3 linked regions of the Ovis aries genome follow. The protein of the gene in region 2 interacts with the protein of the main gene of each other region in a pairwise test. Links are inferred from orthologs where the notes say so. Each region holds a gene or a part of one and is shown on either strand. Other genes may lie near its edges.

Region 1 (3,651 bases), on a different chromosome or scaffold from region 2:
GTTTATGGACTCTATTCTTTTCCACTTACTTGCCTATATTCTCTCCATACCACCTCAGTTAAGAGTCTTACAGTGAATCTGTATAGGATAAGTACCCCATCACCACCACCCAACATCACTTACTTCTTTATGATTGTCTTGACTATTCCTGACCCTTTGCTCTTTTGTCCATATATATGTAAGAAACAACTTGTCAAGCTATCTGAAAAAACTAGTTGAGATTTGATTGAAATAGTATTAACTACATAGATTTGGGTGCAGTGACATCTTTATGATATTGAGTTTTCCCATCCACAAAATCGTATGCCACGTATTTATTTTAGACTTTCTATAATATCTTCGAGGAATGTTTTAAAATCTTGAATATCTTTTTGTAAGATTTATTCTTAATAAATCTTATTCCTGTTGCAGTTTCTGTTGCTATTAATGTTATTATCCTAAAAGTTATATATATATGTATTTTTTTACTGGGATATGAATGCAACTTATTTCATATGTTGAGCTCCTATCAGACAACCTAGCTAAATTCTTATTAATTTTAACATATTATCTGTTATTATTTGCTTTTGATTTTAAATTAATAGCAAATAGAGTTTATTAATATAGTCTTCTTCCTTTGCTAATGAGGTAAATTATATACACAAATTTTCTAATCATATAGTGTTTTTACATCACTATTAATAACATAAATCCAATTTGGTCAAGAGGCTTTATTTTACATATATACTGATGAACTTGGTTTGCTACTATGTTTTCAGATTTTGCATTTATGTTCATAAATGAGAGTGTCTTTTAGTTTTCTTTCTTATACTGTTCTTGTCTGACACGGGTATCAAGTATATACTATACTCATAAAATAAGTGGGAGAACCGTCCATCATTATCTACTTTTTGGAGGAATTTATGATTATTAACACAGTGTTTTGTTGTAGCTGTTTAGTTGCTAAGTCATGTTCGACTCTTCGTGACCCTATGGATTGTAGCTCGCCAGACTCCTCTGTCCATGGGGTTTCCCAGGCAAGAAATACTAGAGCGGGCTGCCATTTCCCTCTGCAGGGGACCTTCCCAGCCTAGGGACAGACCTGGCGTCTCCTGCATCATAGTCAGACTCTCTGCCACTGAGCCATCACGGAAGCCCACCCCATGTTCGGCTACGTGGTCAACTTGCCATCAAACTGTCATGGTAGGCCTGTCTTTAGTGTTTTGTTTCGGCTTTTTAAAAACCAGTTGTTACTTTCGGGGGCTAGTCTTAATAACTACTTAGGATAGTTACTACTTTATTTGGATTTCCTATTTCTTTTTGAGTCATTTTGGACAATATTATATTTCTAAGCAAATTACCTGTTTTAAAATTTTTAGGTGAAAAGTATAAAATTTTTCACAGAATTTTCCAACTATTTTAATTCCTGTTATATCTAAAGTTATGTGTTCCTTTTCATTCTAACACTGTTTATTTTTTCCTTCTAGACACAATCTTGCCAGTGGCTAACCTATTTTATTATTCTTTTCAAAGAATCAACTTTTGACTTTGTTAGTCTCTATTCTAGTGTATAATTTTTTCATTCAATTTTTTCTTCTCTGATCTTTGTTTCCTTTGTGTTTATCCTGCTATCAATTTTCTAATTCAGGTAAAATCTTGGACTATTGATTTCCAGTCTTTCTTTCCACAGTAACACAAATCTTGCAAGGATCACCCTAGAAAAATGCTGAGAAGGTTTTCATTATTATTCAGAATATTTTCTAAGTTCCATTATGATTTCTTCTTTGATCTATAAGTTACTTAAGAGTATTTGTGAAGATCATTTATCTTTTGTCATTGACATCTAACTGCGCTCAGAGAACAAAACAGCTTTCTGTATGGTACCAGCTTTTTGTGGTTTACTAAGATCTGCCTTGTGGCCTAGTACATGACCAATTTCTACAATATTTTGTATGTTCCTGGCAAGAAAATGTATTCTCTAAATTGCTGAGTGTAGATACATCCATTAATACTCATGAGATCAAATCTGTTCACCGTACTGTTCAATTTTTCTAGGTCTTAACTAGTTATGTGTACGCCTGTTTGACTCAATGAGAAGTATATTCAAATTTTCAATTACCATGATGATTTCTCAATTTTTTCTAACCATTCTACAAATATTTTACTTTGAGACTGTGTTCTCTGGTGCAGGAAAGAATGTAGTTTTTATATACTATTATCATCATATAATGATTTGGAGGGATTGATAATGATAATGGAGGGATTCCCTGGTGGCTCAGACAGTAAAGCGTCTGCCCACAATGCGCGAGACCCGGGTTAGATCCCCAGGTCGGAAAGATCCCCTGGAGAAGGAAATGGCAACCCACTCTAGTATTCTTGCGTAGAAAATCCCGTGGATGGAGGAGCCTGGTGGGCTACAGTCCATGGGGTCGCAAAGAGTCAGGACATGACTAAGCAACTTCATTCATGGATCATCATATAACACTAGTAATACTTTTTTCAATAAAGTTAATTTTCTCCAATATTAATTTAGCTTTGTCAGTTTTATTTATTTAACATTTGCCTGGATATAGTCTTCTATCCCTTTAAGTCCATATTGTTCTGTACCCTTATGTTTAAGTGTGCTGCTCATCAACAGCATATTCCAACCTTTTGATTTGTTTTCACCTGGTTAGTTTGACCATTTGGATTTATTATAATTCCTGATATTGGATCTATTTTTGCCTCTTTGTTTTGGTACTATTTACTATTTTCTCCAACGTCCACACCCTGCTTTTAAATAAAATTCCAAGTTATTTCCACTATTGCTTTTAAAGTTATAGTTTTCTGTTCTTTTTGTAGTTTACTTTAAATCATCTTAAATCAAATTTTTCCTTGTTGCCCTAAAACCAAAACACTTTATCAGAAACCAGATGGGCTTTGGAGTCAAACAGACATGGCTGGAATCTCAGTTCTTTCATTTATTCCTAGCCATGTGACCATGCCCCCCAGCTTATTTCCTCAACGGTACAATGAGACTGTTGTAATGCTTACATAAGATAACCTATTCAAGAAGCTACAGACAATACCTGGGTCATAGTAAATGCTTAACAAATGGTAGACTATGAGATGTAAACAGATTTTTATTACCAACAAGGGAAAAAAAGCCTTTTTAATTTTTTTTAAAGAAATGGGGGAAGGGAGTTTCAATCAAGAAGAAACCTTTCATCCGTAACTACAAAATTTGAAACTTTGAGCAAAGTCTTTTAGTCTAATATCAATTTGGCTGACATAAAAGCAAACTCACCCTTTATGATATATGCACAGACAAGGCAGCCGTGCTATAGTATCTCCCTGCTGCAGTTCTTCAAGGCATATTGCACATTCCCCAGCATCTTTACTCAGTACGTCCTCTGAGAAAAAAGAAAATGCATTTAGGACAACAGAACTAAAAGAATTATGTGAATGCTGACTTATACAGAGTGGTGTCTGGCATATTTTTGTCAGAAGCACATAAAATTCAGCACCTATATTTGAAATACTATTTGTAACTCACTAAACAATGTTTACCTTTACTTACAGTGTCTCTCAATTTCATTTAGATTTCACGGAGGCATTACAGTTAATAAAAACACAGTATACAATCTTTCAACTCGCAAACAACTTTGCTATAAAGTTTTATCAGTAAGTCAG
Region 2 (4,101 bases):
ACATGTTTCCTGGTCCCTCACAATTACTTTATGAGTCTTAATAAAGTTGGAGTTTCCTGTTGAGGGCTCGGAGGGGTTTAGGTGGGTGGTAAGAACGCTTGTTTTCCTGGTTAGCGGATACGCCTCGGGCTTTATAAATTGTGTTGTACTGTGGTAACTGCAGCCACACTGCTGCCATGGGAAAGGACGGCAATTTGGATGAGATAATTCAGTGGCCCATGGAAATCTGACTGGACAGTGGCTTAATGTACTACACTTCCTACCTGTAACATCATACCTATTTCTTCAATTTCCTTCAATTGAAATGAGGAATAAATGTGAAACATAATCAATTTGATGGCTTGAAAAAAGTAATCTTGTTAAGAATACTAAATGAACAATTCAGAATTAGAGGGACTTTTAGAAAAATTGTATGATTATTTGAATGGCGTTTGTATTGTAGCTGAAGAATGTACAGCGGTCCCCCAAACTTTTAATCCAAATTCTGACACCAAAAATTCTAAATCCAGTCTAATGCAGTAGTACAGAGTGTATTCCCATTGATTTCTCACATTCGTGAGACTGTCACACGTTGGTTGGTTTTTTCTGTCACGAAATTCTTTGTATCACTTTTAGAAAACACCACCTCTGTCTATAAAAATGACTGGAAATACCTAAAATTGTAAAACGGCACGTGTCTGGGCAGAAAAGTCCCGTTCCTCACAGGCGAGCCTGCACCTACTTCTGCTCCTAGCAGGTAAACCGTCAGAGGGAGAAGCCAGGTCAGCCCATAGGAAAGCCTGTCGTGGGATTTCTCATTTCCCCTTAGGCTGATCACTTTTAGGAGCAGTTCCCGGGGCCATTCTCTCGTCCAAAGTCCTGGCTACCGGATCACCTGTTGTTTTTTTTTTTAAACCAGTCGGCCACCCTCGAGTCTCCCTGGCAAAAGCCCCTCGCGGGAGGACTTCCTCAGGTCACCTCCCCACTCGGAGCAGTTCTCGGCACCCGCACCCACTCCCAGCGCGGGCGGGGGCGGGGGCGGGGTCCCCAGGCCACGCGAGACCTCGGCCCCCCGCCCGGCGCCCGAGGTGCTGAGGTGCGCGCTGGGGGGAGGGCGCGCGTGCGGGGGGAGGGGCGCGGGGCGGGGCCTGCGCGGGCGGGGGCGGGGCCTGCGCGGGGCGGGGCCTGCGCGGGGCGGGGCGGGGCGCGGGCGAGCGTGTGTGGCGGGGGAAGCCATTGCCTGTTTAATAGTTGCTGCTGCTGCACTTCCGCTTCTCTCCCGGCGAGAGAGAGACACGAGTGGCCAGGCCCAGCCGCAGCCGCAGCAGCAGCCGCCGCGGCGGCACGGAGCAGCCAGACACAAAGAGAGGTACGGGGATCCCCCGCGCCGCCCGCCGGCCCCCGGCCGCGCCGCCGGGCCTCGGGGCCGCCCCTAGCCGCCCGGGCGGCCGCCGGGCGCGGGGCCGGGGCTGGGGGACGGCGGGGGGCCGGGCCCGCCCGCGGGGGGATGGGCGGGGACCCCGGGCCGCGTGGGGCGCGAGGGCCGCCCGCGGCGGGGGCGGGGGGGGGCTGCCGGGGCTCGAACTGTCAGCGCGGCCACGGGGGGCTCCCGGGGCCGCCGAGGCCCGTGGAGGGGGAGGGGAGGGGCGCCCCGTGTCCCCGAGGCGGGGGCCCGCGGGGCTAGCTCCCCAGGGCGGCCGCGCTCATTGTTACCCCTCCGCCGGGGAGGCCCCGTACCCCGACCCCGGCGGCGCCCTTGCCAGTGCTGGGACCCCCGCCCGGCCGCGCCCCCGGGGGCCGGCCCGGGACTGGGGGGGGGGGGCCTGGCCTCGGCGCCCCCGCCCGCCGCCCGGCTCCCCACCACCCACCGGCGCCCGCTCCCCGTCCCCGTCCCCCCTTTCGGCTTCCTCCCTCGCCCCTCCCCGGCCTCCCCGCCCCGCCGAACTCCGTTCCCGGCCCCCGCGACCCCCGGGGGCCGCCGCACACCAATCGAGGCCGGCCGGCCCGGCCCCCGCCCGGAGGGGAGCCTCGAGGGCGGCGGAGGGGCGGCGCGCCGCGCTCCCGGCCGGTCCCCACCGCGGCCCCCACTCGGGGCCAGGAATATAGACAAACAGCCCGCGTCCGACTCGCAGAGGCCGTGATGGGCCTGGAGATTCGGGAAAGCGCGTGGAGGGCGGGGGGGCGGCCGGGGCCCGAGCCCTCCTGACAGCGCCCGAGTTCCGTGTCTACACCGGCCTTTCTGTTTTGTCTCCCTCCTCCTGCAGGGGCTGTTTGCGGGGTGGGGCGGGGGGTTCGCTATGTCGGATGACGATTCGAGGGCCAGCACCAGCTCCTCCTCGTCTTCGTCCTCCAACCAGCAAACTGAGAAAGAAGCAAACACCCCCAAGAAGAAGGAGAGCAAAGTCAGCATGAGCAAAAACTCCAAACTCCTCTCCACCAGCGCCAAGAGGTACCCAAACCCCACCCCCGCCCCCCAAAGCAGGCTTCCTATTGCCCGCACGGCCTCCGGTTGCATTGGGTCCGCTTCCAGTGAGGGTAGCTTACACGCTCCTCAGGGCTTATGTGTTCATAAAAAGGGAAAAAAGGACCTTGAAAGCCCGAATTATTTCTCTCTCTTGCTGCTTCTGTTTTTACTTCTGATCATTGTCTCCATGCAGCTGTTGTGGCTTGCCTTCCCCGTATCTTGCTGCAGTTTGTAAGAATCCGCATGAGTGTTACTAGTGACCTCCAAATCTGATTTCAAATTATTTGTCCTGTTAATCACTAATCTGTGACCCTCCCCAAGACTGTCATCCCACTTAATTATTAATACCTGCCCGGACAGCTCTATCACGACGATTTCTATCTCTGTCTTACTGCCTTCTCACCTGTTGCACATAGGATCTCTCTTTGAATAGTGCTTTCTCCACACATGGCGTAAGGAATAACTAACTCACGTTAGCAGAGTGAAAAATTTAATAGATGGAGATGGATGTTTTCAGATGGGATTTAAAGAGATTTTTCTGATTTAGAGAGTTGAGGCAAATTAATGAGTCAATAAGTGATGTAAATTAGTTATTCTAGGCTGTTTTGGGGATTCTTTGTGTTTTTTTGAGAACCTCCACTTAAATTTCCGGGAAGCTCAAATTTTTTTTCATGCTGTTTTCTTTTATGCTGTAAACAAAACAAAAACACTTTTGTCAACACAAGTTGAATTCAAGCAGTAGCTCTTTTTCTTTTTTCTCTCCCTCTTATGTCTCTGATAGAAGTTACTTTTAATCTCCATCATCCTTCAGTAGTATCCTCTGATCCTCACGAGCCTTAGTCTACAGCAGATTCCTTGGAGCCTCCATTCCTTTTCATAAATCCGGTTGTCCAGTGTACAGTCATTAAACTTTAAAGTGGCAAACCAGGAAGATAATAAGGAATTGAAATGGTAGCTTAGGTAAAGATGTCTGTCTTAAAAGATCGTTAAAAAAATGGAACAGGAGGCTTTAAGTCTCTCCACTGAGTAGTGAGCCAAAACTTTTAGTTAGAAAGTTTGTCCTGTCATTTTCCCTGAAATTTGGAAAGTTGATAAAATGCTTTGGTGACCTAAGCACAGGAGATGAAGAAAAGACTCTGGCTTACTGTAAACAGTGTATATGTGTAGAGTTACGTGGCAAGGTGCCTTGGCAAGATTCTCATTTTCAGCGAGGTTGTTTGATCGCATCTCAGCTTCCCAGGAGTCCTGAGCGGCCCTCCGCTATCAGCCCTGTGCTGGTTCTCCCCAAGCCTGGCATCTCCCCTGCCTGCTTTGGATGGACCCTTCTCTTCATTCCCCCTCCCTTTTTCTGGGCTCTCTGATCCAAGCTGAGGGCAGCTTTTGGCCTGACCTAAGGCAGAATATTTGCGTTAGTTCATTAGCACTTTTATATTTTGCTGGATTACCCTAGTGTCCAGGAATATATTTGGGGATAAAGGCACAGGTGTCAAATATAAAATTGTCTGCTTTATGTAAGCAAATTAGAGACAGTTTTTTTTCTTCATTAGACACAATTTGTCCATTTATGCTACGGGAGTTAAAAACTCATTTGGAAATGCCTGGGAAAGAGATGGTAGGTGTAAAATAAATGAAAGGTGGGACGCTTCCAACAGTAATTT
Region 3 (3,651 bases), on a different chromosome or scaffold from region 2:
CCAGAGCCAAAACATCACCTAAGATCTCTTTAATCACATTTCCTACTAAACCCTTTCCATTTTTTTTAATATCAGCAGCTAGTTTCTTCTTCTTAAGGGAACACTTCACTTTCTTAATTTTAATTTGTCAGAACCAGAAGAGATAATCATCAAAAATTTAAAAGATGAAGCAAGTAAAGTACTTGAGGAAAGAGGAGAGGGTACAGTGGAGCAGTTACTCTGAATTTCACTTTAACTTTTTCTAGCCCATTTTTTTAAACACATGTGTCACTTACCATTTTATATTACCCATTTTGTTTTTTAAAGTATGCACCACCCAGGTTTACATCACAATTATATACAGAAACAACACAGCAAAAATTAAAATAGCACATAATACCTCACTTTAGTTACTCCATGTGATCACCAATACGAATTTAACATTATTGACATTTTAAGTACTCACTAATAATATCAACCAATTTACTTAATTAGCAAAAAAAATTACTGATAATTTTTTCTGCTGATATTTCAATTTCCCAGACACTAAAAACCTAATCTGCTCCTGAGAAACAAGAGGTTCCTCCCATATGGTTTTGCAGCTGAGAAGTCTGTTTATTTCTAGATGAGTGGAGATTACCAGGAGGCTCCAGAAGAGGAGGTAGAGGAGGAAAAAACTGGGAGAATTCCCCAATTTCTCATGAATGAGGCTGACACTACAGTTTCAACACCTTTGAAATGAAATCCTAAACATTAAATCCACTTATATTTAAGTAAAAACACTGAAAAACATTCCAGAATAAAAAATAGTATTCAACTATCCACATCCCTGGTCCCCTCAATTGGTTGCAATCATTTAAAAAATGAGAAAATCCTAAATATTTAATTTTAAAAAATCACAGATCATTAAATTACGCCACTCTTGCAGGGGCAAAAAGAATGACTTATTTGGTATATAAACTTTATCACTAGATTTTTTTTCTCCGGCAGGAACTGCAATTTTAAAAAATTAAGAAGAACTCATCAAATTCCACATACCTGGTCATGGTAGCTGGTACTAGACGTACTATTTGCTCCACAAGGTGGTTGTACTTGTGGAGGTCTTTCCACAGGACAAGTAGGATCACTAAAGGAAGGAGAAACTGGGACAGCTGGGTGGGGAGTATGATGATGGTGGTGATGATGCTGAAAATGGTGGCCATGCTGCTGAAAGCAACTTGTGTGTGGATGTCCTAATGCATGGTGATTCTGCGATGACCCTCCACAGGGCGAGTGCTGGGGACAGCAGGACGGTAACCTAGGCATTGCAGGAGGGCCAGTTTCTGTTACAGCATTAGATGCAGTTCTCCTCGAGTCATCTTGAAATGAAAAAATGCACAGATCAATTAAATGATCAAGTATCACTGTGTAAAAAATACGTGTGTGTGCTTATCTGCTCAGTCATGTCTGACTCTTCACAACTCCATGGACTGTAGTCCACCAGGCTTCTCTGTCCATGGGATTCTCCAGGCAAGAATACTGGATGGAGTAAGGTAGCCATTCCCTTCTCCAGGGGATCTTCCTGACCCATGGACCAATTCGGGTCTCCTACATTGCAGGCAGATTCTTTACCAACTGAGCAACCTTGTGTATAAATGTGTAAAAACAGGTGAATAATAAGTGATTAGTGAATTCAAGTATCTGTAAATAATAATGTGATATAATCACATTCTTAACATGTATATCCTATAATTTTAGGCAGTGGTCTTCACTGGGATTTTCTTCCAAGCTTCAAGAGGCTTGTATTTACCAAGACATTTAAATATGGCAATAAATCACCTTTTCCTAGGTCACGATAAATTTTTAATTTTTAAAAATAAATTATTAGTTTTAAATGCATTTTAAAAACTCCAAAGTATCATGGGAGTCCCTCCATTATATACAACAAATACTCTTAATACTATAAATCATTCCTATATAATGAAGACTACTATGTCACTTCTTAAAATCTTAACTTCTAAAAGATATAACCATCCAACTCAGAGCATATCTGGCTAAGTCTTACTAACTTCTAATTTTTTTCCCTTTCTCTGGTCTCTAACCTCAAACCCAGTAGAACAAAAGAAATGATAAGATTCTACCTGGTTGAAAATTAAAAGTCTCCTGTAATAATTTTGTGAATCAAAGTTGAATAGTGGGATAAAAGCATGAAGTCAGATGGGCTTAAATTCTAATCCTGAGCCTGTCTAATCTGAGTAATGCGACCTTAAGAAAGTTATTTAATCTCTTTCTCACCTATTAAATGTAGCAGTAACTATCCTGCATGGTTGTTCTTAGAAAAGATAAAAATCTTCTAGGTATAAAACATCTGAGTCCTAATTATGCTCTGTTGCATGCCCAGAGTTACTTTGAAGGTACATTCTTCCAGGCCAGAAGAAAAGCAAATGTGTCCCCAGAAGGTTTACCCTAGTGTTTCAAACTCCTCTAAGAAAAAGCACCCTTTCCTCAAACTACGTATGTGCAAATTAAAAAAAGATAAAAATGGAGATACATTTTTTACTTAAAAAATAAACATTAGAGGAATAGAAAACCCAAAGCCTTGTCCTTCCTTTCCCTCACATGAATCATGAGGCATCTCCTCAGAATTCTTAGGATTCTAGAGGAACACCTGTGTTCCAGTCATATTTCTAGAATAACCAATACCAGGGATACCCTACTCCTATTTGGCTCACAATACAAACCTATTCTCTTCTGGGTCAATGTACCAATTAGGAATCTTCTGGTTATTTATAAACAATACAAAAAATCTAACCAAAACTGGCTAAAACAATGAAGGGAATTTACAGACTCACATAAACGAATCTGGGTGGCTCTGACTGATGACACTTTCCTGTAATTCTCCAGGGTCTGCCCTCCTATACATGTCTTATTCTGCAGTTGCTGAGTCTCTTCTGGGCAAACCTAAACTCTTCCTAAACCCTGTTAGGCAGTATCTCTATTCTAAATCTCTGAATATTGTTTTTTTTTCCCCCCTCAAGTTCCTATTCTGGCCTATTTGGGCTAATTTCCTAAGCCCTTTTGTATGGGTTCTTAACCTGAGAACCAGAATTCAGGAGTCTGTAAACTCAAATAGAAAAGAATTACACTAATCTCCAGTAGCCTCCTGGAATTAATACTACCTTGTTATCACAAGTTGAGAGGTTAAATATCACAAGTAATTTGTAAGAAAAACAAAAAAGATAAAAAGAAAACAAGTTGTTTACTTTTAAAACATAAATGATAGCAGATTCAAAGTCAGTTTGATAACTACATCCCTTTCATTCATTTGCATTTCAAATTTCTTGAGTAACCTGGACAGAATCACAACTGGCATACTAGAAACTATGATCAACAGCTATCTTAGTTATGCTGAATCAAAAGTAGCTATTTTCTATAGGCTGTAATATTTATAGCAATATCATTATTATCCGATCTTCACTTCCTACAACATTTCTGGGGTTATATCTCCGTCTCCATGTCAAAATGTTACACAAGTAAATGTCATTTATTATGTGTTACTTCAGAAAAGAAAAGAAAATACCTTTAGGACACTAAATCCATTCAGTGGATGGACTAAATGACCTTCATGGTTCCTTCCAAGTGTGACACATTAATTCTACAAATCAAAAAACTCTAAGACTCAGGAGATGAGTC

The links. The genes of interacting proteins can lie anywhere in the genome.
Region 1: the proteins of UBE2E1 (region 2) and ZNRF2 interact in a two-hybrid assay, tested with the Homo sapiens proteins (2 studies listed by BioGRID). The link is inferred for Ovis aries from reciprocal best matches to the Homo sapiens genes UBE2E1 and ZNRF2.
Region 3: the proteins of UBE2E1 (region 2) and RNF111 interact in a two-hybrid assay, tested with the Homo sapiens proteins (2 studies listed by BioGRID and IntAct). The link is inferred for Ovis aries from reciprocal best matches to the Homo sapiens genes UBE2E1 and RNF111.

Annotation. Positions count from the first base shown.
Region 1 is NC_056057.1:67,506,556-67,510,206, forward strand, and holds part of ZNRF2 (E3 ubiquitin-protein ligase ZNRF2), read right to left. Parts: intron 3,372-3,651; coding exon 3,266-3,371; intron 1-3,265. UniProt on the Homo sapiens protein: E3 ubiquitin-protein ligase that plays a role in the establishment and maintenance of neuronal transmission and plasticity. Ubiquitinates the Na(+)/K(+) ATPase alpha-1 subunit/ATP1A1 and thereby influences its endocytosis and/or degradation.
Region 2 is NC_056079.1:41,469,140-41,473,240, reverse strand, and holds the start of UBE2E1 (ubiquitin-conjugating enzyme E2 E1), read left to right. Parts: upstream 1-1,185; 5' UTR 1,186-1,348; intron 1,349-2,243; 5' UTR 2,244-2,276; coding exon 2,277-2,428; intron 2,429-4,101. UniProt on the Homo sapiens protein: Accepts ubiquitin from the E1 complex and catalyzes its covalent attachment to other proteins. Catalyzes the covalent attachment of ISG15 to other proteins. Mediates the selective degradation of short-lived and abnormal proteins.
Region 3 is NC_056060.1:49,399,756-49,403,406, forward strand, and holds part of RNF111 (E3 ubiquitin-protein ligase Arkadia), read right to left. Parts: intron 1,338-3,651; coding exon 1,018-1,337; intron 1-1,017. UniProt on the Homo sapiens protein: E3 ubiquitin-protein ligase. Required for mesoderm patterning during embryonic development. Acts as an enhancer of the transcriptional responses of the SMAD2/SMAD3 effectors, which are activated downstream of BMP.